Neurospora crassa OR74A: one gene and its partners. The protein of the gene in region 2 interacts with the protein of the main gene of each other region in a pairwise test. Links are inferred from orthologs where the notes say so. Each region holds a gene or a part of one and is shown on either strand. Other genes may lie near its edges.

Region 1 (10,051 bases), on a different chromosome or scaffold from region 2:
GACAAGTCCTTGGACTGGAGATGATGGATGTACCTAAGGAGTTCCGTCTCGGAGTGATGCGTGTTGAAAACGGGGTGAGTTAGGTAAGACGAAGTTCGACGCAGGGGTTCTGGAAGATGACCCAGCGGTCCGGACTGCTTGATCTGCTCGGCATGGTGCTTCAAGAAGTGTTCAAAGATCACTTGCGGGTTAGCATCAAGGGCCTCATCCCTGCCTGTGACCTTGAGGCTCCTCGCAGCATCTTGGAATGCGCCAATAAGGCTAATAAGATCGTTTTCGGTGGTGGTCTCGTCAACACTGATGCCGGCCGAATCGGTGGAGATGAAGCGGATATTGATACCTCTCTCTCTGGCGGCATATACCAAGACCTTGCCGATATGGTCTTGGTTGATGACGAGGGTATCGAACGGCACCGCCGAACAAGAGTTATTTGGCGAGTAGAGCTGCAGCCCGCAGAACTTGGCTGCAGACTCCAGGACCCTGGCCCCCAAGTTGCACCGTTCCGCGATTGCCCGAAGGCCCTCGGGACCGTGGTAAACGGCATAGAATGAGCTGATGTTGGCCAAAAGGGCTTGAGCAGTGCAAACATTGCTGGTGGCCTTCTCTCTGCGGATGTGTTGTTCTCTGGTTTGCAAGGACAATCTCAATGCGCGACCGCCGAGACGATCCTTGGAGACACCAATCAGACGACCTGGCATCTTTCTCTTATGCTTCTCCTGCACCGCGAAGAAGGCCGCATGCGGGCCACCAAAGCCCAGAGGTACACCAAACCGCTGAGAGTTGCCAAATGCGATGTCGGCACCCCACTCGCCTGGAGGAGTCAACATGGTGAGAGCCAGAAGATCGGTTGCAACACTGAGAAGAGCGCCTTGCTTGTGAACAAGGTCGGCGAGCTGTCGGTGATCCAACACTTGGCCAGTTGTATCTGGATATTGAACCATGACACCAACCAAGTCGTCGCCCAATTCTTCGAGCTTGGAAGGGAATTCGGGGTCGTGGAAATCCAGAGTGATGATGTTGACACCGAAACCCTCGGCGCGGCCCCTGAGAACGGCTCTGGTCTGAGGATGAAGTCTGTTGGAGAGGACATAGGTTTTGGCGGGCCTCTTTGCTCTGGATGCAGGGAGAGCATTCAGCGACATGGTCATGGCCTCGGCAGCAGCGGTTCCCTCATCCAGCAAGCTCGCATTCGCAATTGGAAGGCCGGTCAGGTCGGTGACCATGGTCTGGAAGTTGAGAAGGGATTCCAGTCTGCCTTGGCTGATCTCAGGCTGGTAGGGTGTGTAACTGGTATACCAAGCAGGACTCTCGAGCACGTTTCGCTTGATGACCTCAGGGGTGAGAGTGCCATAGTAGCCCGCACCAATCTGAGCCTTCACGCTATGCCTGTTGCTTGAGGCCATAGACTCGGCGATCTTCATAATTTCCCACTCTTGATGGCCCTGGCGGGTAGGGTACTTTTTAGTCGCGTGAAACCTGACGCGGGTTTGCGGGAAAAGCTCGCGCTTCGACAAAATATCTGCGGGAATGACCTCCTGGACGAACTGGTCCAATGACTCAACCGGCGGATCCAAAACCCCAAGCATTTCCTGAATGCTGGAGTTGTCGGGACCGATATGGCGACTCGCAAAGTCCTCACGGACAGGAAACAGCTCGGGATACTGGACCCAAGCAGTACTGGGGATGATCTTCATCAATTTTCCTCTTTGCGAAGATTCACTTGACGCCAATCGCAGGCAGGAGGCAGCCACCAGCGGTTGTGGGCACGAGATAGTAGTGGACGCCCTCAGTGGTAGGCGAGCGGGCATGGCACCTCGGAAAGCCATCGTCGAGGGCCCGACAATGTGACCCAGCCGGCCAACACGTCCCGGAGCAGTCATGATGGTGAGCTAACGGGACTGACCGACGAAAACGGGAATCGAATCGGCGGGGAGGATGAGGCAGGCCCGGACTGCCCGGCGGAATTGGTGGATTGGTAGGTTGGAGGAAGGTAGGTACCGCCGTATACGGGACAGGAGGAAAGATGGGACGAACTTAAGTACGACAATGAAGGAAAAAGAAGAGACGAGACGAAAGGGCGAAGGAGAAGGAGAAGGAGAAAAGTATAACGGAGGAGTCCAGGGAGGCGGGGCAAATCTGGACGGACCGTCTCCCGAGTATCGATAGGGTTTCCCGATATCTCTCCAACCGCAACTGACACACACACACACTCGCTCTCTCGTCTATCGAACCATAGCCGGTCAACAAACAAAACAACAGAACGGAACAGTCACACCACTGTCCACCTGAAGAGATCAAGCCCCAACCCCAAAAGAAAAAAAGCCGGGCGCATCCCCGTCCCGTAGAGGCAGATCCAATGACTACTAGCAACAACACTAGTAGTATGACGAGGTGAGTCGAGACTGTTGGCCCCATAGACCCCAATGGCCGGTTTATTACCACTAACAAAGCCGCAAAGCGCAGATTAGAAAAAAAAAAAAGATTTGGACCAGTCAGGACCGACACCCGTGATAGTGACTAACGTGATTGAGGAACTTTCGGCCGATCGAGTTTGGGTGACACATTGGAATACGGTTGGAGACAGGGACTTCATCCCAAAGTACCTTCTACTTCTGAAGGGGGCCGTCAAGGCCAATATCAACGACACACGCTGCAGTGGCTGGCACATGGGGGAAAAAAACAGAGACGAAAGAGTACGGTGAGTGGTCGAATTGATAACGCATCTGGCTAAAATGGGACGTTGAACTTGCCAGCATCGCCCAATCCCGTTCGTCATTCCTGTCGTCTGATTTAGGTTGAAAGTACTCGGCCAAGGAGGTTCTGTCGCTCCAGTCACTAGCTAAGAAAATCCCCGGGCCAGATCTTGTCTTTCTTGTGGGGTACGGGGTAAGAGGTACAGGGTACATGCCGGGTGAGGATTGCCACTACCTAGCAGCGAAGATAGTCGGGTATTCTCGGGCCGACCGACGCCAGGGGTTACATGTTGAGGCTGCGCGGGACCTTCAGAGCTTTCTAGTGTACAAGCGCTGGGCACTGCATCGACTGCCCTTGCCGTTCCCGATAAGCGCGTTGACTTTTGATAACAGCTGATAAGACAACGAACCTGGGCACGTACCTGCCTGCCTAAGCGAGCGAAATGAGGGGCGATTGGGAAAGAACCGACATCCCTAGCGGCTGGACACTGCAGCGCGGAAAGCCGTTCTGAGGCATGGCGTCACTGCACTGGCCCGGCCGGCACCCCAAACATGCAGGGGATCCAAAATTTCAAGACGACCTATACATTCACATCTTCCATTGCCCCATTGCATCCCGTCGTCCCGCCAGCAGCCCATATCGCGACCAGTCTACCAAAAGTAACATCAACGCGACTTCCATATCAAAATGTTCGGAGGATGTAAGTGCCGTCTTGATTGATTCAACTGGGCTTTGACAGTCTTTTGCAGTCATTGAAAGGCAATCACACAAACAAATACATCAACCACCACGACGTCGTCTCCATTCCACTGGTAGTACTGACATTTATTTACTACTTCACAGTCCAGCCCCCTGCCCTCTCCCGCGAGGAGCTCCAGGCCGCCGAGGCCGAGGCCACCTTCACCATTCAACGTGCCGTCTTTACTGCCGTTGCTCTTTACCTCTGTTCGTCCATCTATCTACCGGCCTGTCCTCCCCAGCTTCTCTCGCTGCCCTACGTCAGTCTGGTTCTGAGCGCTAACAAGAGGAAAAACCTATATACAGCTCCCTTCGTTATCGACGCCGTTAGCAAGGTTCTCTAAATATTCGTACTTAGACACCAATCAATCCCACGAGTTGTATCAATGAGCGACGACAGCCTTATGGAAACAAATACGTTGCATTAAACGGCCCGCCTGCGGTGCCTGAGCTCCGATGTTCCCACGCCGATAAGAAAACGATAAGGAATAATGATACCCATCTGGCGCGGACATTTTTCCTCTGGTTGTACGATATGTGTCAAAACTCTCGGAATGAAGCAATTTCTCTTTTGGACTGGGATACTTCTAGGGACGCTGTGCGGACCTCCGTTGATGGCGGTAAACCGTACTCTCGCCGAATGGAGGTAGTGTGTTTTGCCGATAATCTAGGCTTGAGAGCGTGCCACATTCTTTTGACAGCCGTCGAAGAGCTTGTACGTGTTTGTCCGACACCTTTAGCTGTGCACTTCAAAATGATAATTCGACGACCTTGTACGGTACGCACAGAGACCATCCACTTGAGACCCCAACCCATCACGCCAAGTGTATATCAAACACTGGGCATAGTTAGCTTCAAACTGTCTATGACAACCGCTTGCACGATACCCAAGCAAACAGCACAGTTTGAATATAGGAGGTTCGGTGCTATGGCCAAGAAAACTCCCTGCGAGCATGATGTATTTCCTCCAGTGCCAGCCGCCAATTCCCACATAAACCACTGAACGCCAATACATGCTTTCTACAGTCGTTCCTGTTCCGCTCCAGCCCAGCTTTTCCACATTAAAATCCCGTATCCGTGATCTTGCTTTTCTCGGTAAGCTCCCAAGCAGCCCCAGCAGACTCTCTGATCAGTTTTACGCCTCACACCATTGTCCAGCCACGAACACTCACGCCTTTACATGGGCGCCGGAGTGGGCTGATGCTCCTTCTCCCAGTCTTCATATTCCTTCCTGGCTTCCTCGACCTGCTGTTTGAGGTGCTGCAGTTGCTTCTCGTAGTCCTCGAGAATCTGCATTTCCAAGTTAGCATCAGGTCGACAATGTGAGAACCCGCCAAGGGAAAGAAACATACCTTCTTCGCTTTCGCCTCAACCTCCTCATCAAGTCCGTCGCTCTCTGCAAAACCCGGCTTGTTGATCTCATCTCTCAGATTATCCGCATATCCTCTCAAGATAATCAGCCTACTCCAGAGCTCCTCCATGCGCGCGCTCAGCGCCGGGTCCTGGATGTGCTTGTCGATCTTGGCCAGCTTCTGCTTGAGCTCATCCTCGTCGCTGCTCAGCGCGTACCCCCTATTACGCAGCACCTGCACCCGCGACGCCAGCGCCAGGCACCGCTTGCTCAGCTCCGCGTGCCTCCTCTTCGCCTTGAGCGCGCGCACCGAGTGCTCGAGGTCGTGGCGTGACAGGATCTCGTCCAGACTGGCGTTGATGGCATGCAGCTTGTTATTGAACTCAGTGATCACGCGCCGCTGGAGAAGCAGGCGCGCAACGATAGCGGGGAAGCCGGCGCACAGCACGGGGATGTAGTTCGGCCCTGGCTTCTTCGCGAGAGCCTCTTCCCATTCCTTGGGGTCGTCGTTCGGTCCAGGCTGGTAGAGGGGAGCGGCGTGCTCATCGACCTTGTTGTAGAGGTACGTCTTAAAAGCGCAGTTGGGGTTGGTTGGGTCCCATTTCTGAGTGATGACTTGAATCTGCTCCGGGATCGGCTTTTGGTCTGCACGCAGTCGGAGGTTAGCAAACATTGTAAGGTTGTTATCCATCTTGTGCTCGTGGTTTGGGCAAGATGACAGGTGAAGAATTCGACAACGGTAGGACATCAAGGAATGGTGTAGCAGATAGCTACAGGCGCAACGTACAGGTCGTCTGGCTTCCGGGCTGCCATAGAGAGCTGCCCAACTGCGGGTTCTGGCTTGCCTGCGACTGGCCGAGGATGGAGGCAGTTGACTGTTGTTGTTGTTGCGGCTGCTGCTGTTGCTGCTGTATTAGGCCGACACGTCAGCGTTCAGCCCCATTCAAATTGTCACTGTTCCAAACAAAACCCGACGGAAAATAGCAGAGGGATGGTTTACCGTTTGCCCAAACAACGAAGTGCCTGTCTGAGGAGCACCGAAAAGTGATTGGCCTGTCTGCTGGGCTGTACCGAATAAACTCATGGTTGCCGGTAGTGTCGTATACTGGCGGAAATGGTAGTCTGAAGAGCGCAAGAGAGCAAGATGGCGCGTGCTGATGGAAACAACTGAAGCCCGCGAAAGAAAACAAAAGCAACAGTGGGGATTCGCGGCAGAGGTTGGATAAATTGATCGACAAAACGCGCTCCAAGTCAAATCGTATTGACGAGCAATAGGCCCGCGTTGATTGTAATAATCGAAATCGTCGTGATATCGGATACTGAGTCGGGAGACACGATTGTCGCGGTTCGCAAAGCCGTCGTTGCTGGGCAATTCCTGTAGAAATTTACGGGGTTGTACGTAGACAGAGACGGCGCCCACTTCTGAATGGCTCTCACTGCGCAGGCGTTGAGGAGGTCAAAGCTCCTCTGGTCACTTCACTAGCGCGTTGGGTTTGCTGCGGCTCACCGAGAGTAGACCGAGGTGGAGGTCACTGGAAGGTGAGGCAGGGGGCAGCAACGCCAAGAACCTGACCTTGGCCTTCACCAGCCAATCATGAGCAGGCAGCCGCGATCCACTCACAGCCAGGCCATTCGAGGATAGCCGGCAAGAGGTACGACACCATCATCAAGCTACCCGTCCAAAACCTGCCCTCGAAGCCTCGATTTGTTGCCTTTGCGATCAACGACAAGCTCGCCTGAACCGACAGGATGGCTTCTCGGATTCCCCAGTATGTGACCCCCCGGCTTGCGCCCAGCTGCAGGAGAGCAATTGGCGACTTGCGACAGCGACACCATCATCACTACATATAGTCTGCCGATAAAGAGGGGCTGACCATCATCACAAATCACAGGTTCAACCAGCAGGTCCTTTACGACACCACCCCCTTGCCGGACTCGATCCCCAAGGTCAAGGAACTCGGTGCCAGTTCTGCCCCGCTTATGTCCGCCGCCTACTTCATCGGAGCCCGGTGCCGCGATTACAACGATGATTTCATGCAGTGTAAGAACGAGAACCCTGGAAAGGGCGAGTTTGAGTGTTTGAAGGAGGGCCGAAGGGTTACCCGATGCGCCCGGAGCGTGTAAGTGAATCTACCTGTTTGCAGATTTGGTACTGGAATATAAGACAGAGGGCGGGAGAGAAAGAAGAGAGTCATGTCGTGGATAATCAGTATGGGGAACACTGTGGAGACACTTTGGCTAACATGGATACGGGGGGTCAAACCTCCATCGCAGTATCGCCGACATCAACAAGTCATGTCTGGAAGAGTTCCGCAAGCACTGGACATGCCTTGAGGACAACAACCAGCAGCTCTGGCAATGCCGACCTGCCGAATGGAAGCTGAACAAGTGTGTTTTTGAGAACTTGGTAAGTGATGGCCAGTATCCATTCGTCACCAGCACAATCCACATGGGATTAGTGCATGACTCGAGCAGAGCCATGTTGGCGTGCGCCCTTTCCATAAGCTCTACCTGTTACTTTCTCGATATCATCATGACTCACCACATGTTCGTCCCATTACTGCTGTGCGATAACTTACCAAGTCTCTTCCCACCACAAAGGGTCTCAAGAAGGAAATCCCCGATCAGCCCCCCAACGTCACACCCGTCCACCTCAGGAAGCAGATGATCTATGCGCATTGGCCCATCCCCCGTTCCGCCGAGCCTTTCGTTCCCCCAACACAGACTGGTGACAACAACAAGGCGCCAGCTGCCGCTTCGTCATCGTCGTAAGGGCAATTCGAGCAGGAGTGAAGGGGAAGAAGGGGAAGGGAAGCCTGGCAGAACAACAGGACTAGCAGGAAGAACAGAACTGCAAGGAGAATATGCCAAGGGCGAAGATAATTCCCAGAAAGACGGTATGGTAATGATTATAACTTCTACGTACCCTCTAGGACCATATGGTAAAGATGAATAGACAATGCAAACCAAGCGGTTGAGGATAGAACTGGGCGTTGTCTGTGTAGGCTGGCATGTAATGTGTCAGGGCGGGGGGCGCTTCGAGTTGAACGGCAGCACACTGTACATACGTTTATCCACCTTCGTCATCGGCCATAAAGACAACACTCACGGTATATATGTCATCCGGTAGTATGATTTGGTATTAACTTAGGATCCACATTATACGTCTCGCGCTTCCAATGTTAGAACCACGGCCAGGTCACTCTCCCCCAGGCTGACACAAACGACAGGATTGACAACGAACTGACAGCTTGGTCGTACACATGACCTCTACACTACGTTTTGACAGACTTCGATTCCACAAGAGAAGGGGATCGTTCTGCAAGTACTAGCAGTACGAGAACAACCGCGCAACTATTCCACAAGACACGGTAAGCCCTTGCTCACATACTTCGGTCTTTTCCAGATTCCCTCAGGCAGCGCGACGGTCTCACCTTATCGTGCATGTGCCTGTTCCTGTGCCTGTGCCATCTTTAACCGGGCTTGCCCGACTTTGACTTTTGTTGCTGCCTTCTTCGTCTGACACAACGCCTGGGACGGGTTACTTACCGCCATCACTACCTACCTCTAGGGTTCACCCAACACATCCCTCGAATGCTCGAGTGAGCCCTCAAACCTTCTCTTCCTCGATTATTCTACTTGATGAGTCGTTCGTTGTATGGTGGTGCCAAAAGCCTACACCTCTGGGTTTCCAAGTTTCAATCCTCTCGGTCTCACCTAGGTTTGAGTCTGACTGAGGAAAAAGGCAATATCATGACATCAACCTTGCTCACTCTTATCCGACAAGTGAGAAAACACCCTCTCAGTAATAACATCTTGGGGGGGGGGGGGGGGGGGGGGGGGGTAATGAAATCACAAATTGTTTGGGCCGCACAGGAAGACAGCGACCGAGCGCCGATGGTAAGGTAGGATAAGGCATGACAGTGCCGTGGCTCAGATTGATGACTATGATGGGGCAGAGATAGACATTCGCATTGGGTACCACGTGATCTGTAAAAAAACAGACGAATTACAAAAAGAGAATAATGAAAACAAAAATTAACAGGGAAAAAAAACATGGGGAAAGGAGCCTCTGAAACTGTGTTGCAGCTGCGACATGAGCGATACATTTATGTAAGTGGTTGTAAGACATATCCATCTGCGACTGAGCAGTGAGTGCTTGCATGTTTCAATACGCGGCTGTATCCGGAGATAAGGCGTTGGATTTTATCTCTCTGGATCCTCAGCTTCTCGGCATTTGGCTTTGGGGTTTGGGGGCTTGTGATGCGTCCCATTCGTCATCATCCAAGCCTGTCAGTGATCATAGTGGTGAGAAATCGGAGATGTGGTGGGGGTTATGTGGTAGAATAGAAATGGTGAGGAGGACAGGTTTATGCGAAGGGGAACGCTGGAAAGACCAAAAAGAACACAGAAAGTTGGGTATTAATGAGTAGGTGGCTTTTTAGTTGATGAAAGGGGTAGGACTCTCGTCCTGTATACTTGTCTCCATTGCTATATTATCATGGATGTGGAGAGAGTAGAATGCGGTGGTATTGCAACAGACAAACGCAGGTATGCAAATGAAGAAAGTGAGAATATTTTCAGGTCTTCTTGAGGATACAAGCACCAGAGCCTCCTGATTCAGCCTCACACATATCTCCTAGCTCCTCTGCAATGGCTTTCTTCTCCAGCAAGTACTTGGTCCGGTCTCGCTGCGAGAGACTGAGAAACTGTTGCAACCAGAACCAGGCAAACCTCCGTTTATGTTGATTCGAACCAACCCGGAGCTGAGGTACCAGCACCAATGTCCGTGTCAGCGTCAGTTCAAGTGTCTTACTCTCTAGGTAGTCCTTGTGGTCTCGGGGAGGAGGGTAGGACACTGGCACTCGGTGACACCACGACATGACCCCATAGCGATATTAACCCTCAGTCCCAATACAATAGTTATTGAAGTTTATTGAAAACCCACCACGACTACGTCATGGTAGTGGTTTTCTTTGACGTTGCAGTCCTCATCACTTTCCTAAGTATAGTCCTTTCATCGTCGGTGACTACGTAGATTTGACTTAATTGATGCCGTTTCTGGGGCTTCTATCTAATGTTGTGTATCAAGATCCAGCAAATGAGCGATGTCCTAGTCTTCTTGAAGGGCGTTGGTGTAGTCTGCTTTCCTGTTGCCTGTCACTCGTCAGTCATTCAGGTTTGTGCGCCTTGTAAGCTTGGGGAGAAAAGAGTTCCGCGGTGGAATACAAGGAACCCCTTCCACGCCCCCTTTTCTACCCCTTTTCA
Region 2 (10,370 bases):
TGGCAGTATCAATGAAGTTACCTACACATCACCCAACATCACCGAGTCAGCTTTAGCGGAATAATCCATAGGAGTTTCCCATCATACCTCCGTTCTCATAGTAAAAGTCCAAAATGCTCTCCGTAGTCTCTTGATTGCACTCTCCCATATAATCTTGCCTATGAAGTAAGGTTCCGCAGGTCAGTAATCAAACAATATCACGAACGGTTAGCAGCACAAGTCCGATGTGTACAACCTACCACGAATCGCCAAAGTTCATCGACCCCAGACAAAGCGGACTGACACGGACGGATGCAGTAGGGGACAGCAAACGATAGCGGCCGAGGGGCCCCTTGGGGGGAGGCGCCATAGGGAGGGCCATTTTGAGTCAAAGTTAGGAGATTATATCGAAAGGTGGGATGGGATGAAAAGGAAGACTAGGATGAATGACGAGAGATGATCAATACACACGGGAAGTTCATAAGAGAAGGGACAGGGAACGGAAGGAAGCTTAAATTATATGCCAGTACGACGGCCGAGGTTAGATCGGCTGGAGACTACGTACAGCCCAGATCCATGATTCGCAAAAAGAAACAAGGATATCACTTTGCTAAACAACGGGAGGCACACAGGAGGGTCGTTCCCTCTTTCCTTCTGTATAAGTTAACAAGCGGAGATAAGGCAGAGATCACGGAGGCGGGCCTGACGAGTACCCCTAGAGCAACCTCAAAGTGTACAGGTGGGATCGGCTTGGGGGCAATGGCAAGCTGAAGCGGGGGTCTCTAGTTTACGCTCTTCCACAGTGGGATGCCAGGCACGCAAGAAAACTGGGGATATTCGGGCACCCGAGCAGACGGAGGTGATGGTTTCGATCCCAGATCTCAGAGTCCGTGTACGGCAAGTGGGGTTCAATCTAAGGTGGACCATGGACGATCGTGGGGAGCGGACGGGTTTGCAAACTCCCCGAACGACCAGAGGATAACTTTCGCAATCTCGATCTTGTGCCATCACTTTCTACAGAGATCATTGATTTATAAGTCCGGCTGGAGATAAGCTTGTCTCCGTGGAGGGAGTTCAACGACCGGAAGCAAGGGCGAGGCCAGGGTAGACCAGAAGCACCTTTACCCCTCTTCGGACACTGCTCCGATGATTTCATGACTTCCGCATTCGAGATGATCCCCACTTGCGTCCAGGCGCGTTCACCTATTCTTTCAATGGGGTCAATGCTTTAGGTTGGCTCTGTTGGCGATACATCACTCAACTGTCGCCAGGGGCTCAGTTTTGCACAGATGAGAGATACATGTAACTGCTGTATAGTTCCATTGCGAACCTACACTCGTACAGACCCAAGGTATCCAGCCAACCCTAACAATGACTTCATTTTGTCGCTAGACGAGTCCTCTTCATAAACTCATGAACACCAATATACGTGGCCGCCCCTTTTTCTCCAATCCAGTGTAAGTCGTGTCGTATGATGTCGTATTTGTACAAGCAATGCAACCCCCCCCCCCCGGCGGACCATGTCGCCTTTAGCATGTCCAGACGCCGACGACACCGTCTTGACGGCCTTCGACCATGTAGCCGTCCCTGATGCGCACGCGTTCGACGATTGCAGGGGACTTGGCCTTCTCAGCCTCAGTGATGCCGGCGCCACAGTCCCAATGCCGTCCCTCAACCTTATCGTACACCTTAACCACATCCTCACCAGCAGCACAAACAATCCGGCGGGTGTCAAACATCATGCTGGTGATAGGGTGATCATATGCGTAAGCGTCGAAGATTGATCCAGTGCGAAGATCCCAAATCTGTGATAAGGAGCAGTGTCAGTGCCACTCGGTTTCGTAGTGTTATGGCAGAATGAGGAAGTTGCTTACACGAATGCTTCTGTCCAAGCTGCCAGTGACGAGATGAACATCATCAAACTGGAGGCAAGTAACCGGGCCGGTATGTCCAACCAGGCTACGGTGCACCTGTCCACTTCTAAGATCCCAGAGTCTAACCATACCGTCAGCAGTACCGCAAGCCAGAGCAGACTCGAAGACCTGCAGGGCACCAACGAAGTCTGCGGATCCGTCGGCAGAGCGGCTGGTCTGTCTCCAGGGACCGTCACTGCTGCCCATTGCGGTGGCTTGGGCGGCGGCCCACATCACGTCCAATGTCTGCACGCAACGACCCTTTGTAAGATCCCACTGACGAAGCGTCTTATCGGCGGAGCCAGAAACGAGCACATCTCCCCTGAAATGCAAGGCCGTAATCTCGTCGAGATGGGCCTCGAGAGTGAAAAGAGGGCAATCAGCCATGCTTCCGGCAGGCGGATCGACTGCGTGATCGTTCGGGTTGACAAACGCAAGGTCCTCGTCCTCCTCATCAACCTCCTGGCTACCCTGAGGGTCGTAGTGGGCCTTGCTCAGGTCCCACAGCTTGATTGTCGCATCCATAGAGCCAGTAGCCAAGAAGTTATCTTCAATTTGAAGAGTGCGTACAGATGCCGTGTGACCTTCAAGAGTACCGATGCAGCGCCCGGCGTTCAAGTCCCACACACGAACCGAGTCATCCATTGCAGCCGAAACCATGAGACCAAAGGGAGCATCGAAGTCGAGAGCCGTGATGTTATCCTGGTGCGCGCGCATCGAGCGAATCATCGTGCCTGGCTCGAAATGTTCGTGGAGAATCGGGAGTGTCTTCTTGCGATGGTTGCGAGGCTTCTTTTTTCCAGGAGGAGTGTTGGCTGCTGGTAATTTCTCGTAGATGGATTGCGACATGAATCCTTCTTCAGTTCTTGATAGATCCTCCTCAGACTTGTTCGGTGTCGCCATCGCCAACGATTCCGCCTCATCAGCAAGTTCTTGAGCTTCGTCTAGCCTGCTCTCAACATCCATGACTGCCAGTTGCGGTTAGTAGGAGGTCCCAAGATTAAGCGCATAAACACTTACTGTCATGCTCTAATACTGCCTCCTCTTTTTCAAGATTAGCGAGCCTGTCGAGGATGATCTTGCGCATGCCGTGCAGATTGGCGATTTTGTTATCAATCTCACGGATCTCGCTGCTAGCCATATTTTTCCGAACACCAAGCATTTCAAGTTGGTGCATCATTGACGCCTTATCTTTTTTTAACCTCTGTACCGCGTGCGGGCTTCCTGGTTGCACAGGGCTCTCATCGAGCATCTTCCTCCCCCGAGACACCCGTCGCTTGTGCTTCTTTCCATCATCGGTAAAGTCGGGAAAACTGGCCTGAAAGCCCTGGAATAACGAGTATGAGTTGGAGCTGGCAGGGATGTTTCTGAGAAGCTCATCGGGCACGTAGGCCAGTGCTCGAGATTGAATTTCCTTTGACGACAGCTTGGAGCGCACTAAATCGGTGGGCGTCGTACGCGCTATAGCGAAGACGCCCCGTTGAAGCGTGGGCTTCTGGAGCTGCTTGTGTATCTCGGTCATGGCGGTCTGGTAGTGAGGATGAGAGGTCGGGTCGGTGATGGGGCCGATCAAGTGACTTGCTGTTGTCGTCACTTTGCGACCGAAGGCCTCGAGACCCCGAGTCTGTTGCAGTTCACCCATCTTGCATTAGTTTGTGGTTCTTGGGCTGCGCCAAGCGCAATGCGGAAAGGACTCAGGAGAGGCAGAAGGGTGTCATCATGGTGGTGAACAGAGTGCGGGAGACGAAGGTGAGGAGAGCTCACAGAGATTACGGAGGTATCGTCATCAATCGACACATCGTCCGGGAACACATCACGGTTCTGATCGGAGTTGGCCATCCGTTGGCACCGGGAGGCTGCTACCCAATCGAAAAAGGTTCAAAGAAATGCCCAAGAGGTTGTTGCCGCCCGACGAACTACTAAAGCGCAAAGAGGTCGAATAGAAGCAGGACACTTGGACGACGACGCGAGAAAAATCCTGCGGGCGCTACTATCGCTGCCAAATCGCACGGCCGGGAATCGAGCGCAGCTGCGGCTAGTGGTAGCGATGCCGAAGCGATGTTGTCAATGTCAGAGTCCGCGGCAGCAACATGTAACCACGGCAGGCTGAATCAATTGCAGCAGCTGCGGATGGCCCGATGTTGTAGAGGTTGATCAGGTAAGGTACCTCGCTCCAAGTTCGCGCGCGTGGATGCGGCACAAATTTGATGTGTGAACCTGGTGAAGCACCGTGGCAGGAATCACTTTAGCTAGTCTGTTAACAGCTACCACCACACGTCTCTGGGACACATAGTTTGAAAGGTACCCTCTAAACACACTGGGCCCTCGGTGGTCGGTCTCTGCGGCTGGCAGCAGGCTGGTCGCAGCATGTTGGCGGGGAGGTGGATTTCCCGGCCAGCCGATAGCGCGCCCCCTCAATTCCCATTTCTTCCCCTCACCCCCCTGGCCCTGGTTCCCCGCACGCAAGCGACGCGCCAATTCAGGCTCGGCCTCCGTTCAGAAGGGGGTGTAACGAGAGCAGGGATCCGGTGTCTGCCAAGAAAGCCGCTGGAGGGCCAGTGGGGTACCGGATCCGCAGTATTGGTGCGTCATATGTACCAATGTACAAATGAACAACCTAAATTTTAACAGGGCCGTTGCAACGTGGGAATCTGATTGTTGTCCGATATCGAAGTTGCGATTGTTTGGTCCCAACTCTGCCGGTTGAGGGTCCTCAGGAGGGACTCAACGCTCACTGTACACAACAACTGCCTCTTGTCTTCTTTGTCAATTGATATCTTACTTGCACATATAACCCAAATCTCTATTCCAAGCCGTTATTGCACCTACCGCGACACCTCGGCTTTCAAGATGGACGCTATCATCGAACTGTCTGACGTCGACAAGGCGCTTGATCTTTCGCGCATTCGCTACCAGCTAATGTGAGTCAAGAGAGAGCTCAAGCACTGAACGATCACCTCGACAATCCTGGAACCTATGCCAACTGATACGTGTGTCGAACAGCCGTCTAGAGGACACCATCATATTCCATTTGATCGAGCGTGTTCAATTCCCCCTCAATAAGAACATTTACATCCCTGGCGCCGTCCCGCTCCCCGACACCGACCTCAGCTTGATGGACTGGTACTTGTGGCAGCAGGAGCGTCTCCAGTCCCTCATGCGTCGCTACGAGTCACCCGACGAATACCCTTTCTTCCCCGACGCCGTGCAGAAGCCCATCCTCGAGTCGATCGACTACCCCCAGATCCTCCACCCCAACAACGTCAATGTGAACGATCAGATCAAAGAGTTCTATACGCAAAAGTTCCTTCCCAGCGTGTGCCCCGACTTTGGCCGTGAGGATCGTGGTGTCAACAAGGAGAACTACGGTTCCTCTGCTACCTGCGATATCGCCTGCCTGCAGGCCATCTCCCGGCGCATTCACTTTGGCAAATTTGTCGCCGAATCCAAGTTCCAGTCTGAGACGGAAAAGTTCACAAAGTACATCCAGGCCGGTGATCGCGAAGCCATTGGAGAGGCTATCACCAACCAGGCTGTTGAGAAGAAGGTGCTGGAGAGATTGAAGCTTAAGGCGGAAACCTACGGTACCGACCCGTCAATAGGCGCCTCCGAGGCGGAGAGCCAGCGCAAGATTAACGTCGAGGCCGTCGTCGCTATGTACGAGGAGTTCGTGATTCCTCTTACCAAGGTGGTGGAGGTTGAGTATCTCATGCAGAGACTGGAGCCGGCGCCCGCCCAATAGCCATGATGCAAGTAACCGGCACCTAATTAAAACAACAACAAAATCCACAGCACTGCAGGCAGGAACTGACGATGCGTTGAAATTTCCCGTTCACGTTCCCCCATTTCTCGGTGCTTCATAATTCTCGCAATCCATTATGGTAAATTAGTTGGCCGCGCCAATGCAATCCCCGATAGCTTTGACAGCCTGCTTGAACCTGCCCGCCTCAATAAGCATCATGAAACCCTGTGACTTGACGCCCAGCTCTTGGAACGCACGCTTGCTGTCGGCTGAGTCTCCCTCCTTGGTAAAAGTGTAGGTGCCCGCACCGACAGCATGCTTGCGCATCTCTTCGTCCTCAGGGTGGAAGTACTGCAGGCCCTTCTCATCGCGTAGCCGCTTGCGCTTCTGCTCCTCCTGGTCCAAGCTCGACTCGACCTCGACGTACGCGCGCGACACCACCAGGTAGTGCGTAAACTCGTATGGCTCTTTGTCGTCCACGGCGTCCTGGATCTCCTCGATCATCATGTTCCACATGGGCGGGATGACTTCGGCCGGCATGTTGATGAGGCGCTCCGACAGGACGATGCCCACTTGGGCCTTGCCGGAGGTGAACAACTCAGGCAGCACAGACAGGCTGGAATCACCGGCCTTGACGGCCTTGTCGGACAGGTACTCAATCAGCTGCGCGACCGGTTTCTTCTCGCGGTGCTCCCACGCGTTGAGCACGGTCAGGAAGGCGTAGGCGTCGTTGGCCTTGTCGTCCACCTTACACGTCGAGCCGATGGTGTTCTGCTCGATGATCATGTCGCTGAGCCCGGACAGGTCGAAGAGCTGGGCGTCAGCGTCGAAGAGCTGACGAAGAAGCGTTTTGACGCCGTGGAAGTCGATGTCCTTGTCGTAATTGAACAGCTCGAAGTCGACGTTGATGATATCCATGTCCTTGTTTCCAACCAATGTTAGTATTACGACTCCCGGCCAAGAGAGGTTCGACCAAGATGCAAGTGGTCGGTTTAACAACCGAGCCTGGTGCACCAAGGGAAAGTAACTCACCTCATCCGAGTCTGAGCTGTCACTATCCTCATCCATCTTATCGACTGTGGGGTCGTTCTGGACGACCTCCTTCTGGGCTTCCTCTCTCGATCTTTTCTTGCCCATCTTGAATGTGGTACTTGAACGACTCAATAAAAATGGTCCTTATTCGACTTGTCAGTCGCATATTCCACACATGATTGTGTTCACAGGGCTCCTTACTTGGTGATATGTGGTTGACTTTGAGGTCATTCAGGCCGTCAAGCTCAAAATTTTGTAATGCAGTTGTTTAAGATTGAAATTGATAAGAACCTTATCGCCTACCTGCATATACCCTAACCCTTCCAGCTTTAGATACAACAAAATGGTTGCTAGGACAACCACAATTGCCCAAACTCCAAAAAGGGGGGGATTTCCAACCACGTTCACCCAGTTAATGATCTGCCATTGTGGAAAACTGCCACCGCGAACGATAAATGGAAGATACTTCATCTTTACGGACAGTGCTTGTCTATGGATGCCAGAAGACTGCAGGCCAGTCCTATCCAAAATGTTGACTTGGCTGCACCATTGCTGCCCTCAAACTAAAGTATAAGCTAAATCGTTGATCTTCTTACACATCCTTGATGTTATCTACTGAAAGTAACTACGTACCCCTTGACTTGTGCTGCATTCAGCTGGCGCAACATATTCCTCAACATTCTGACACCAGTTGATCACCAGCAGCGCTCCTGAGTAGCTGTCAAACAGACCATCCTCCCGCTACTCTCACACCCCAAACGTCTCATCTTGGTATGGGTCGACATGACATTGTCGGCGGCCACAGAGCCCTTTTCATGCTTACATAACCAATTCTCGGCAGGGCATTACTTCCCAAATAGTGACGTGTATCACAAACTACACCTGCTCAGCGCCCCAGCCCGCATCCACCTCGCGCATGTTTGGAGGGGGCTCAATAGAGGGCACAAATTCGAGAGCGACATAGGCGACTCCGACAAGGAAGATGATCGAGCCGATAATGATTGTAGCCCAGTGTCCATGGGGAATGATGCAGCCGACGAAGATGTAAACTGTACAAAGAGTAGACCGACGATTAGTCACAATAACTCAGCAATAGCAGCAGAGGGGGGGTGGGGCAACAATAACGTACAAACACCACGACCAAGAAACGAGAACATGAACGACGCATAGCGGTAGACTTGGTGAGGGATCTGGAACTCCAGGAGACCGGTGGCTGTGAAGAACAGCGTCAGCGTTTCGGAAACCATTTGAATGTTTCTGTCGACGTATGCGACCACCTACCAACACCAAACAGGATCGTGTAGCACCCGAGGATAATTGGTTGACTGTCGACAGTAACTTGGTCAGTTTTACATCTCCATACGATTTCTATCAGCCTGCGCAACAGTCCGGACAAAGCATGTAACACCCTTGTGAGCATAGGCGGGCGCGCACTGGCAGCCGGGACATCCAGGCTTCAGGACCATGATCGATTTCGGCGACCGCCCAAGATTGCTGCGTCCACAATATCCGCTCGTGGAGGGAAGCGCATAACTTTGTACAGTCGGTCGGCTTGCTAACGGGCGTACAATGAGGAAACGTACATTCCGAGAGGGAAGAACTGGGAGACACCACCCAGGATCATAAGCACTGCAACCGCGAGGTTGACAAAGCGACTAGAGAGGAGGACATCATGTTAGCAAGTAGTTCTGAACCTCGAACGGATGCTTGGATGCACGCAGTATTGGGGGCCAGCGGTCTTGCTTGTTCTCCGCTCTCATCCCCTTCTTTCTTTTCTTTCTCCATAGTCGCACGAGCGGGCGGATGTGAACGTACAAAGAGTCGGAGAGATCCATTATGGCGTTGTTTTAGTAGTGGCTGTGGTGGTGGAGGAGGTGCGAATACGTCGCAAAGGTTGGTAGAATGTCGCAGGAACAGGTGCGATCTGCTGGGTTCGACGCAATCTAGAGAGCGATTCAAAATGAGTCTCGGAAATTTGCGCGAGCGTAGAGATAGATGTGGCCACTTGGTGGTGGTTCTTGACGGAGCAACGAAAGATGTTGTGAGGATGGTGTATTCTACAGTGTTGCCTGGAACAATCGAAGCTCGAGGTCAGGAAGCTGGTAGCCTCACCTGCACCAAACAGGAGGGTCGGGTGGTCCCTGCCGGGGTACATTGTCCACTAAACCGGCCCCAAACGCGCGCAACGTGGGAGCTCCGCCCTACGACGCTGATGCAAGCGTGCGCGGCCTCTTGTCACTGGCTCCTACGGCATGTCAGGGCAGGGGCTTTCCGTCTGGAACTTTGAAACTTCCATTGCCGCATCACACTTCGCCATTGCAGCGAGGGTGTTGCAATTAGGGTTTACAGCCATGAGACGGCTATTACTATGCAAAACCAAATCCACTGGACGGCATCGATGAATAGACGCATAACCACTATGCGGATACTATGACTAAAGGTCTCTGGCTCCAACTGTCATTGGGATTTCCTCAAAAAGACTATGCCTTCCGTTGCTATCTATCTATGCACAAGTCAAATTCCATGGGTATGCTCTCCCGAATAACTCCAGTTGTTTCCCCCGAATTCACAGCATGCCGCTTTTTCAGCCTCCGCATGTCAATCATAACCCAACTCGGCAAGCTCCCGTTCCTTTGCGGCCAGCAACTCTCTCATCATTTCGGCCTCGCGCTCCAACGCTGCTCTTCGCTCTGCCTTCATCCGCTCGCTATCATTGTGGGTATCTCTCGAGGCGCTCCGCAAAATCGGAGCTGATGTTGGTGTCCCAATAACCGTACTGTTTGAAAATGACCCTGGACTGTGTGCTGGAGTCAGACTGCTCATGGCTGGGGACCGGGAGGCTGGTTGCATCCGTAACTGGTCTGCCGGCGAAACCTCTCGGTGTATCTCAGAACTCGGCATCGGGTTGAGAATGGATTTGATGGAAGACAGGCGCTTATGACTTTCGTTGTCATTATGAGACGAAGGTTCGTTCTCTACAGCAGATATCGACCGCTTTCTCGATGGGGACAGAAATGATGCTGGTGAAATGGACGCTTGACGATCAACTGGGAGCGCCAGTGAATGAATGGGAGCCAGTCGATTCTCGTAAGTGAGAGATGCATGAGCCCCGTGGTGTGGTTGATTTGTATGAGATGAGTGGTACTGTCCCAAGGCGGCTGAAGACAGCGGGGATGCCTGTCTGTTTCGCCGCAATTCGTCCTCAGGCACGAGCGTCAATGGTCGCACTGAACGTCGGCGGATGCCGAGATTAACAGATCCATCTTCGTTGACCGTACCTTTCTCCATCGGAGGTTCTGATGTCGCGGGTGGTGAATCTGGAGCCTCACTTGGCTCAATTTCGGCATCACCTCCGGCGGCAGGAATCACACGTTTTCTCCGTTTGATTATTGCCTTTTTCATGGTCACTGGCCGATGCACACCGTGCAACTTGTAATAGAGACCTTTACTCGAGTTAGCAAATTCCATCCCATTTGTAACTTTTCAGGCCATAAGTTCATGCACTTACCGCACGCATTGCAAATGGTATGACCGGCTTCGTCCCTTCGCCAGAGCGGAGTAATGGTAGTACCGCAGTTTTGGCAAGCAATAACAACGGTTGTGTTTTGCGATTGTACGTGTAAGGCGGTGATGTCCATCTCAGTCGGTTCTTCCCCGCTGCCCTCTGCTGCTTGAGGTTTCTTGGAAGACGCGGCTGCTGCGCC
Region 3 (9,069 bases), about 2.6 Mb from region 2:
GAGCCAGACAAGGGCCAAAACTGAGCTTCGCGGTTAGCATTCGTTGAAAGGGTCACCGCTTGCAAGAGAAGAGCAGACATACGGAGGTACTGAACGTTCTCGTCGGTGAGGTAGCTGACAACGTTGGCCGGCTTAGCACCGGTCTTCTGACGAGCGCGCCATGTCTTGTAAACCACGATACCGTATGTGAGGGCAGCGGAGAGGAAGGTGGTGCGGTAGCAGAACTGCGCCATACGACCATAGTAGTTCATGCGCAGCCACGAGAAGGCGTAGCGGGTGACGCAAAGGAGAAGGGTGGCATGTCTATTATGATCAAGATCGTGTCAGTATACGTTCAAAGCAATCAAAATATATCCTGGCGCGAGAGTCGGCTGTTCCGCAACTCCGCTCCTGTGAGATACCGCCTTGCTGCCCCTCGTGAAATCTGCTTCATCCTGATCGAAAGCGGGCGGCACGGGAGGGAAGCGGGACAGCAAGCCAATCGAGAATCATGACGTACCCAGCGAACCAAGCGACTAGGAAACCAAGACAGTTAGCCATTTGCGCTCATGATAAATCTTCGAATCGCTACAACAGCGATGGAGGCTCAAACGGAGAGAGAGGGTTGGATGCACACGTACACTGCAGGGTCTGTGCCAGCTTTTGAATCCTCTGCGCAAGAGGCAGGTCGGCGGGCGGCGGGGGAGCCATTGTGATAGAAATGCTGTACTGGAAGCGGGTTGCTTAAAGTTTGATGTAGTCGGTGTCCGGCGCGGTAATCTTTATATCGCTCGGTCCGGGTGGTGAAGTTGTTTGGAGAGCTGAAGCTGAAATAACTTGGAGAGCAGCCGGCGGGAGAGAGCGTGGCTGAGGTGGTGAGCGGTGCGTATGGTGGAGATCTCTGGGAAAAAATAGGGCGGTCGTGTGCTTGTGCTCCAGCTCCCGCTTCTTCAATGTCCACGTCGACCCAGGTCGGGGAATTTCTGCCGCAGGTTCGATAGTGTGGCCGGTGCGCCTTGCTAGCTGTTGCCCCTGCAGGATCTAGTATTGCACTAACGTAGCCTGAATATTTTTTGGTGGCACGTTAACCAGAACTCGTCGAGATAGGCGTTCAAGATGATAGCGCAAACAGGAACTTCCAGGTTCTGTAGGGCTGGCTGCGACTGCGGTTTGTAGGACTCCTGTTTACCACTAGCTTCAGAAAGGGAAGTTGAGATGGCGTATCACTGTTGAAGAGCGGTACGATGGCGGAACACCTGAAAAAGACGACGGATAATGAAGACTGAAATGGACAAAGATGAGCAAAACAAAACCCGGAAAGGTCTTTCCACGATTGCTACGCGATTTTATTGTGAAATTTCTACCCAGAGGCTCTTCTACACTAACAATATGGCGTCGGTCTCGGCGGAAGAGCTGGGCTGTGTTCGTTTGTCGTCATCGCGCTTTCACAAGAACCCGCCAGAATCTGGTCGGGATCCGGGCTGGTCCGATTTCACATGCAAGACGTCAACCCCCGATGCCCAAATCTGGGCTGGCCTCTCGTCTTGGAGGTTGTTGCGACGGTCATAGGTTGAGATGAACTATACAGATGCTGTATGTCCTTCATATCAATGAGGATCATATCGGGAGTCTTCGTACTCCTGCTGTCGTGTCAACATATTCTTTGGGATGATAAATTCCGTTCAGTTGGTTGCATCTCGCGATGGGACCGCTGGTAGCTCCCCTCCCCCCAAACTTCAGTGCTGTTGCCGCCTGCGTCATTCTTGGTGAGCCGAACTTGGTTTTAATGAAGGAAGGAAGCTTGGGCCAACTGCCCACACTCACATCCAGCCACGTCATTGCGGTGGCTCAAACCTGCTTGTTGTGGTCTTATTCAACCCTAACCCTTCTCAATCACCTGCTTTCTTTTCAAATGACAGCGACAATACTATGATCGTATATATCGACATTCAAGATATGACAGTAGGAGCTGTGGAAGTTGAGCTCAAGCGGTCTTGATGAGACCTTTTACTGAGAAACTTGCACATGAACTTGTATATCTTACCTCCAGTCTCCTCGAAGGTTACCCAATAGGACCAACTAGGAGCTCCCAACCGCCAACATCACCATTTCAAATCAAGGCAGCGACGATATCATGTATCCGTATACTTAGATGAGTCCGTTCTTCGGCAACGGCCAATTCGGGTCCCTACTCTCGACTATTCTTCCCGGCTGCAGCTGCTGCTGCTTCTGTAGCCATTGTTGTTGGTCCCCCATGCTCTGACCCTGCAATCTCACACTCCCCGTACTCGCCGCTCTCCGCCTCGAAGTCGTCGTCGATGGTCCACGCGCATGCTTGCCGCGTGCAGAAGCAGATGCGTTACTGGCCATTCTCTCATCAGTGCTGTTATTCCTCGCACTTGTCGCCGATGCAGTCCTCGAATGGCCGAGTGGATGTCCACCACCACTCGTACCGCTCATCACCGACGTGTTGGTAGGCACGGTTTCCAGGGGCCGAGCCATTATGTCTCCGTAGACGCTTTTGCTGCACTCAGGAGCGTACCGTATTGAGATATTCCTCCTGATGTCTTGTGTTGTTGGGGGAGTGGGTAGGGGAATGGTTGGCGGCGGGCCAGGCGATGGGAGGAGGATGTCGCTGGAGGTACTATATTTTCTGCCAACCGCCTGTCCAATCTTTCCCTGGGAGTTGTCGGTTGATGGCTCGAACTGGGGTATCCAGGCTGTTGGTGACGGGAGATAGGCTTGCGAGGGCCGTCGGACGGGAGGTGGTTGTGGCCCCTGGGTTGGAGAAGGTGTGTGTGCTTCTTGGATGGTCTCCAAGTGGATAGGTCCTGGTGACCTCGTCGGACTAAATGGGCCCCCATTCTTGGTCGGGCTGGCCTGGTCGTTGACGATATAGCTGACAATGGCACGATCAAGCGCGTCGCTTACGTTCTGGTCTTCTTCTTTTTGTTGTTGCTTCCTCTTCCGGTATCTCACGAAGAGGTAGAAGCCGGCGAGAGAAAGCACAGAGGAGCCAATAATGGCGATGACAACTGCTATAGCAGCACGGTTGACCGACGACGCGGCTCCCTGCACAGCTTTGATGTCGGGGTTGTTGAGAGCCTGCGGATTGTTTGGAGTCTGGCAAAGGTTAACGCGATGGCAACAAGTTTCAATATCACGGAGCACTCACCATTGTCGAATTTGGATCTGCCGTGATGGTCGGCCCTATGAGGTCTGTTGTAACCGAGACAACGGTTGCTGTGACCGTGACCGTCCCTTGGCCCAGCTTTTCACTCATGCTGCTAACGGTGCTCGCGGCCGAACGTTCTGCAGCTATCACAGCATTGGATGCCGATTCCTCGGTCGACGCTATTGCGATTGAGGCCGAAGCTTGAACAGATGCTAAGGCGCTGGAGGCTGACGAGGCGAGATGATCGATCGACTCCTGAAGCCCGATGATGGATGTTGCCAGGAGGCTTGAGAAGTATATCGCGTTCGAGTTGGCTTCTTCGAGGGCACCGCTGAGCGAGCTTATTGTTGCTAGTAGGGAATTATTACACGGGCAGGATCCTACAGCCGTAGGTGCCGTTGTCGGGAAGGGTGAATGGGTTGCCTCTGCTGCCACTGCGACACTGATCGCCGAGGTCACGGTCGTGAAGACGGGCTGTGAGCCAAGATCTTCATGGCCGCTGACCGGACGCCTTGCAACAATGGGTGGATGATGGTGTGGCCATGACGAGAAAGGATTCTGCCCAGTCTCGAAAGACTCTGCACTTGCCACGTAGTCAAGGGTGGTCAATGCTGCCGAGTAGCAGACAATAATTCCTATAATTAGGCCGTATATGAGATGACCCCGATTTCTCATGGTTCATCTTGACTGACTGAGGGAAAAGGACAGAGAACTCATTGTTCTGTTGTTCTGCAGTTGGAACAGAGCAACTAGAGATGAACACTGGGAGGAAGTGCGGTGGGATGGCCATACGGGGCAAGAACCGAACGCCAGAAGATAATCCCGAGTCAGACAATGGTGACTTGCACACCAAAAGAACGGGACGGGATGTCATAGTCCTGTAGGCGCAAACGTTGAGGGTCAAGCAGCTAGAAGAGCACGGATCCCGATGACTGAGGGCCATCCGGGTTTCTGATTCGGCAAGAGGTTTTGATCTAGAAACAAGGTGGAAACGACTAGACCAGGTCAGCCTTGAAGATGCGATACAAGGATCTCTTGACCACTGTCACTCGGCAGCTGAGGGGCCCGTTGCGGACTTGCCTCCCCTCCTCAAGGATACACAGAAGTGAGTTCTGAATCCCCCAGTTAAAGCTGACTGGGTACCTATATTCCAGGTTCTTCACGAACAAGATCGCATCATCAGCTTACACGGAAGTAGGAGTAGGAAACGAAAAGATCCTCCATGGGCGCCACCTTAACCTGATCTCTTGAAGGATGAACCTGTATCAGTAAACCAAAATGACTCGAGAATTGTATGGCATGACTTGACTCGAAACAGCCGACTTCGATGATGGTGGCAATATCCCATACGATCTTCAACGCTTAAGCCTACGTTTTTCAGGATGATGGACCGCAGATTGAGGACTGTCGCTGTTCCGGTGGGAATACAGCATCTAATCCAAACCCAACAAGTGCAGGTATACCTCACAGGTCGGTTGAGGTGCAAATAAGGTTGAGTGTTCCAAGATTGCCGCCAAGGATTCTCCATTGCGAAAGCGCCCGTGACATCTGTCTGGAACTTTCCTAGCAGCTGCGGGCAGCTGCCCTGCCTGCCAAAAGCGCAAGAGGGTCCAGACCGTTCCATACGGTACAGCTCACTGTAGAATGTCCGCGGTCTGGAACGTCGCCCGCTGAAGAAATGGGACCTGACAGTGGAAGGATTGACACTTGTCACCACTGCAGCTTGATAGGCACTGATAGCGGCGGCTCAAGAAACCATTCGAAGAGACGGAACTTGGAAGAAGAAAGATACCTATCGACATATCAAGAGGAACTATTCTTCATTCTTTGCCCCCCGCGTCCTCTTTGCTCCTCCAATCCCCCCCAAGTGCTCCCCTCCCTCCTAGATCAACGTCCCAAAAGACCGCCGCCAGAAAATGACCACTATCGGATCCCTCCAGCGGCTGTCCGCCACGTCCCTGTCCAAGCTGATCCTGGCCGAACAGGCCTCGACGGCAGCAGCGGCGGCCGGCACGGAGAACAGCCGCTCCACTTTGGCCATCATTGACGTGCGGGATGACGGTGCGTACTTAGCTAGTTCCCGCTCCTGGTCTTTGTCCTCCGCAAGGAACCTCCTTCACCTTCCTTGTCTCCGCAGCATCATCATCTACACCTGTCCTACTCCATACCAGATACACAACTTACTCGCACAATCCAAAAAGAAAAAAGAGACACAGAGTCAATCATTATGCGTCATCCCCCGGTATTAACAACCCCTTCACAGACTACATAGGCGGCCACATCAAGGGTTCCCAAAACGTTCCCTCGCACAAGCTCGACGCCATGCTTCCTACCCTCGTCCGCCAGCTCCAAGACAAGGAGACGGTCGTCTTCCACTGCGCGCTCTCGCAGCAGCGCGGACCCAGCGCTGCTTTGCGCTACATTCGCGAGCGGGATCGTCTGATGCCGAAGGAGGTGGAGACTAAGCTTGCTGCTTCAGTCGAAGAGGCTGTTGGGGCTGATGGTGAGGGAGAGGTGAAGAAGAAGCAGGGGGAGGAGGAGGGGGAGGAGAAAAAGAAGCCCGTCGACCAAAAGGTGTTTGTGCTGGATCGTGGGTTTGTGGGGTGGCAGGAGGCTTTTGGGTTGGATGAGAGGTTGACGGAGGGGTATAGCAAGGAGTTGTGGAGGGATGGGTACTGGATGTGAGCGTGATCCATGAGATGGCTGGCTCGCCCTTTAAGAATTGAGCGAGCAAGCTTGGGAGTTGGGAGTACGAGAGGACGGGATAGAAGGTTCACTGGTTAGCGAAGCGGGAGTTGATTGGGTTCATAGACTTGTTGTTAACATGAGTGAACTTTACTGAACATTCCTCTACCTGATGAAAAAAAATCACAGATGGGGTCTTTGCTGACAGGCAACAATGGATTTTTGACTCTGCGCGGACAACAACACTAGTAAGTAGCACATAGACTGTGATACATGTGTAAGGAAAGACCTTTGTCATTGACCCCAACGTTTATTTTGGCTAAATTTCCAAATGTGACTCTTCTGAAATAGTCAATATAACCCCCTCACTAATCCCAATATGCCCACTACATCTTTCCAAGAAACTCCACAGCCCCTCTCCAGCCCTCTAACCAGTCAGTCTAGCTCAGTACATAGGTACCCCAACTCAACAAAGCCTTTATCCCAGTATGTTGTGGGGAACCAAACGAACGGTTCATGTTTATGTTACCCCCGAAGCAGCGAAGCAACACTCCAAAAATGCACGAGACTTTTGTGTTACCAGTAGGTATCCATGAGTGCAACGAAAAAGGTACCACGCATTAGGGCCAGCCATCCATTTTGGGGAAAGGAACAGTGAAAAAAGATTCAGCTGAAGTCTTGGGTAGCATTATAGATGCAGTAGGTACGTTGCGGTAGTAGTTGGTAGTCCAAGATTTGTTGTCCCGCTTTTCTTTTTTTTTTTTCTTTTTTGCGGGCTTTATGGGTTCAAACTAATACACAAATGTATGATGTGGGATGTGGGACGTCGCGTAGGTGACTTTGTACGAGTAGTAAATGCCAGACAATCATGCAACGGAGGGAGGGATCTTTGGTTGACGCTACTCGCTGTGCATGTATCAATTAGGTCTCTTGGCCCTTGGCGAACGACCATACTAGGATGCAAAGTCCATAAGGTTGAACTTGGTATCTAACTATTGATGGACGAATGCCGAATCGGGTATATATATATAGACTTCTTCGAAGGAAGTTCTGGAAGGTTATGGTTTCTTGGTAGCTTAACCAGACCAGCCTCCACTCACGGATATGCGAGCTACCATAACAGTGAGCTCAAGAGCATCAATGAAACGCCACAGCCTCGGCCACATCACTTGCTTTTCTCGTTATCGAATTCCTTTATGGCGAGCTTCAGTCTGAAATCACGTAGATAGTGACTTTGACAATAGTTAGTGTCAAGGCAAAAAGAACAGCTGTAGAAAGAAAGTGCTTGCGCCACGTACTTTTGATGATCCTAACTCCAATGTAACTTTGACAACTTTGAAATGCTCAGTAACGTGTCCACGATTAATGGAAGCATGAAAGCCTTGGCACGAAGAGTCTTCGGGACCCTTCACACATAATATATGCATGAAGGACACATCCTTTCTCAATACGATCAAACCAATGTTCACAGTAGGATGAAGAAACTTCGAATACACCACGAAACCGGTCACTGGAATGACGAAAGACATCAACGGTTGGTTGGAAAGTGGCAGATAGGCCACCATTGGACAATAATGCGAGAGTGGTAATGGAAATTTGGAAATGTGACAATCCAAGATAGTTACCGAGTTTGCACTATCATACAAGTACGCAAAGGCAAGAGGGAACTATGTATTTTTTTTTTTTTTTTTTCAGTAGCAGGAGTAGCAAATAGAGAGTGAAAAGGTGATGTTGAAAGGGAGTATGCTGAAAAGGATGCTTGAGTCCTGTCTTTGTTGCTTGCTGCATGATAACCTGAAGATGGGAAAAGCGAAGATGTAACTCTCAAAGCATCGGTGTTGCCGAAGGGTACTGTGGATAGTTTAACTTTTCAGTCATTGGTCATGCACTTCAGTTGCGTGCTAGATCGGGTGCTTGCTGAAAGGCATTCAAATGTACTCAGGCGTCATCACTAGACGGTAGGCTTCCTAGGTTGTTCACGTACTAGTCTACTCCATCCACATGGATACGAGTGACGGCAGCTAATGAGACGGATGCCATCTTGCGTGGATAGCGCCGGCACACATGCCGATTGTTCTGGAGTACATGCCTTGCTCTATACTGTTCAGATCTGGTCGGAATGCCCTCAGTCAAGATCTTGGCAGGGAGCTGTGCAATCTCTCTAGTCTCAGTTTCCTGGTTCATCCAAAAAAAGGGCCGAGGCTGTCATCAACTCGTTGATGTGGAAGATATCTGTGCATAAATGCATCTTGGCTGGCTGCCAGCAAGCCACTCATTGGACAGCCGAAGCGAAAACGGTCGTGCCAGCGAACCGTCACCTCGGAACGCGAGAAAAGAGCGACTCTCAGCTCAGGATTTTCCCCCGTGGGTTAACATTGGGATGTAGGTACCTGCACTGACAGGGTAAGCTTATATACCATAATGGTACATGTAGTGCTACCCTTGCCGTATCGTGGCCAGTCTTGATACTGACAAAGGTACCTTGGTCTCAGTGAACTGGTCCCAACCGTCTCAATAGATGCCGCAAAGACTTGGCGGGCTGATGGAACAACAAAAGGGCCAGTTAAGAGAAATCATGAAGTGTGCCTGACTCGCTTGGAAGCAAGCGAAGCGCTGGGTGGAGCAAAGCTCAAGATACTAAAGCTCTTTTGGTTTAGAACTGAGGATGGAAAAGGACTCGTGAGTGCGTACCATCGAGATCGAGACGCCAGCTCCGGCAGGGCCCGGTTCGACCAGGACGAATTGGTAGAGCAAGGCTATGTCAAAGACGACAGAAAAATGAAATGGATTCCTTCGTTTCCTTCCTTAGTGTGCGGGGTATTCGGGATAATGGTGGAGTGTTTTGGTTGAAAAAGAAAAAAAAGAGAAGAAAAACACAAACGTCAAGGTGTCATTTGCGCAGGATGCTGGCAAGATGACGAGCCATGATGATTTTAAGAAGGGAAACATGGTCAAGAACTATGCATGGCCAGTGACCCATCATTCCCAGCCATGTATTGCGACGACAAAACATGGGGAACGTCTGGCATGGAGAGGATTGATGGCCAAAGGAGAATACCATGGACGAATATCAGCCACGGTGCAAGGGAAATGGGAGCGTAGGAACATGATCCATCCACACCATGACAAATGTGAGATCAAGGGTCCATGGCTCAAAGATCTCTTTCGGGTATCGAGTCCGCGGTGGTTTCCAAAGAGAGTTAGCGAGGGGAAGGTAGGAGATATTTGGT

Evidence for each region.
Region 1: the proteins of NCU07724 (region 2) and NCU02473 interact in a two-hybrid assay, tested with the Schizosaccharomyces pombe proteins (2 studies listed by BioGRID). The link is inferred for Neurospora crassa OR74A from reciprocal best matches to the Schizosaccharomyces pombe genes mdv1 and nup44.
Region 3: the proteins of NCU07724 (region 2) and NCU06966 interact in a two-hybrid assay, tested with the Schizosaccharomyces pombe proteins (2 studies listed by BioGRID). The link is inferred for Neurospora crassa OR74A from reciprocal best matches to the Schizosaccharomyces pombe genes mdv1 and ibp1.

The regions. Positions count from the first base shown.
Region 1 is NC_026501.1:2,426,769-2,436,819, reverse strand, and holds NCU02473 (nucleoporin Nup44), read right to left. Parts: upstream 6,219-10,051; 5' UTR 5,868-6,218; coding exon 5,784-5,867; intron 5,692-5,783; coding exon 5,571-5,691; intron 5,429-5,570; coding exon 4,785-5,428; intron 4,723-4,784; coding exon 4,609-4,722; 3' UTR 4,075-4,608; downstream 1-4,074. Other genes in the region: NCU02475 (glycine dehydrogenase), read right to left, coding at 1-1,880; tom5 (outer mitochondrial membrane translocase 5), read left to right, coding at 3,382-3,394, 3,538-3,639, 3,739-3,776; nuo20.8 (NADH:ubiquinone oxidoreductase 20.8kD subunit), read left to right, coding at 6,533-6,552, 6,676-6,903, 7,058-7,190, 7,385-7,555; NCU16357 (hypothetical protein), read right to left, coding at 9,897-9,940. UniProt on the Schizosaccharomyces pombe protein: Functions as a component of the nuclear pore complex (NPC).
Region 2 is NC_026504.1:2,074,418-2,084,787, reverse strand, and holds NCU07724 (mitochondrial division protein 1), read right to left. Parts: upstream 4,100-10,370; 5' UTR 3,732-4,099; coding exon 3,657-3,731; intron 3,517-3,656; coding exon 2,913-3,516; intron 2,861-2,912; coding exon 1,854-2,860; intron 1,785-1,853; coding exon 1,509-1,784; 3' UTR 1,197-1,508; downstream 1-1,196. Other genes in the region: NCU07723 (norsolorinic acid reductase), read right to left, coding at 1-21, 88-158, 240-361; NCU07725 (chorismate mutase), read left to right, coding at 4,743-4,813, 4,896-5,634; NCU07726 (bcp-1), read right to left, coding at 5,779-6,555, 6,667-6,771; NCU07727 (COPI-coated vesicle protein), read right to left, coding at 7,543-7,715, 7,796-7,879, 7,948-7,991, 8,250-8,321, 8,482-8,501; sre (siderophore regulation protein), read right to left, coding at 9,265-10,109, 10,175-10,370.
Region 3 is NC_026504.1:4,687,507-4,696,575, reverse strand, and holds NCU06966 (hypothetical protein), read left to right. Parts: upstream 1-4,804; 5' UTR 4,805-5,070; coding exon 5,071-5,215; intron 5,216-5,417; coding exon 5,418-5,839; 3' UTR 5,840-6,076; downstream 6,077-9,069. Other genes in the region: NCU06968 (hypothetical protein), read right to left, coding at 1-20, 83-303, 500-515, 621-690; NCU06967 (hypothetical protein), read right to left, coding at 2,128-3,102, 3,155-3,829. UniProt on the Schizosaccharomyces pombe protein: May play a role in DNA replication checkpoint via regulation of hsk1 or may act downstream of hsk1 in an S phase regulatory pathway.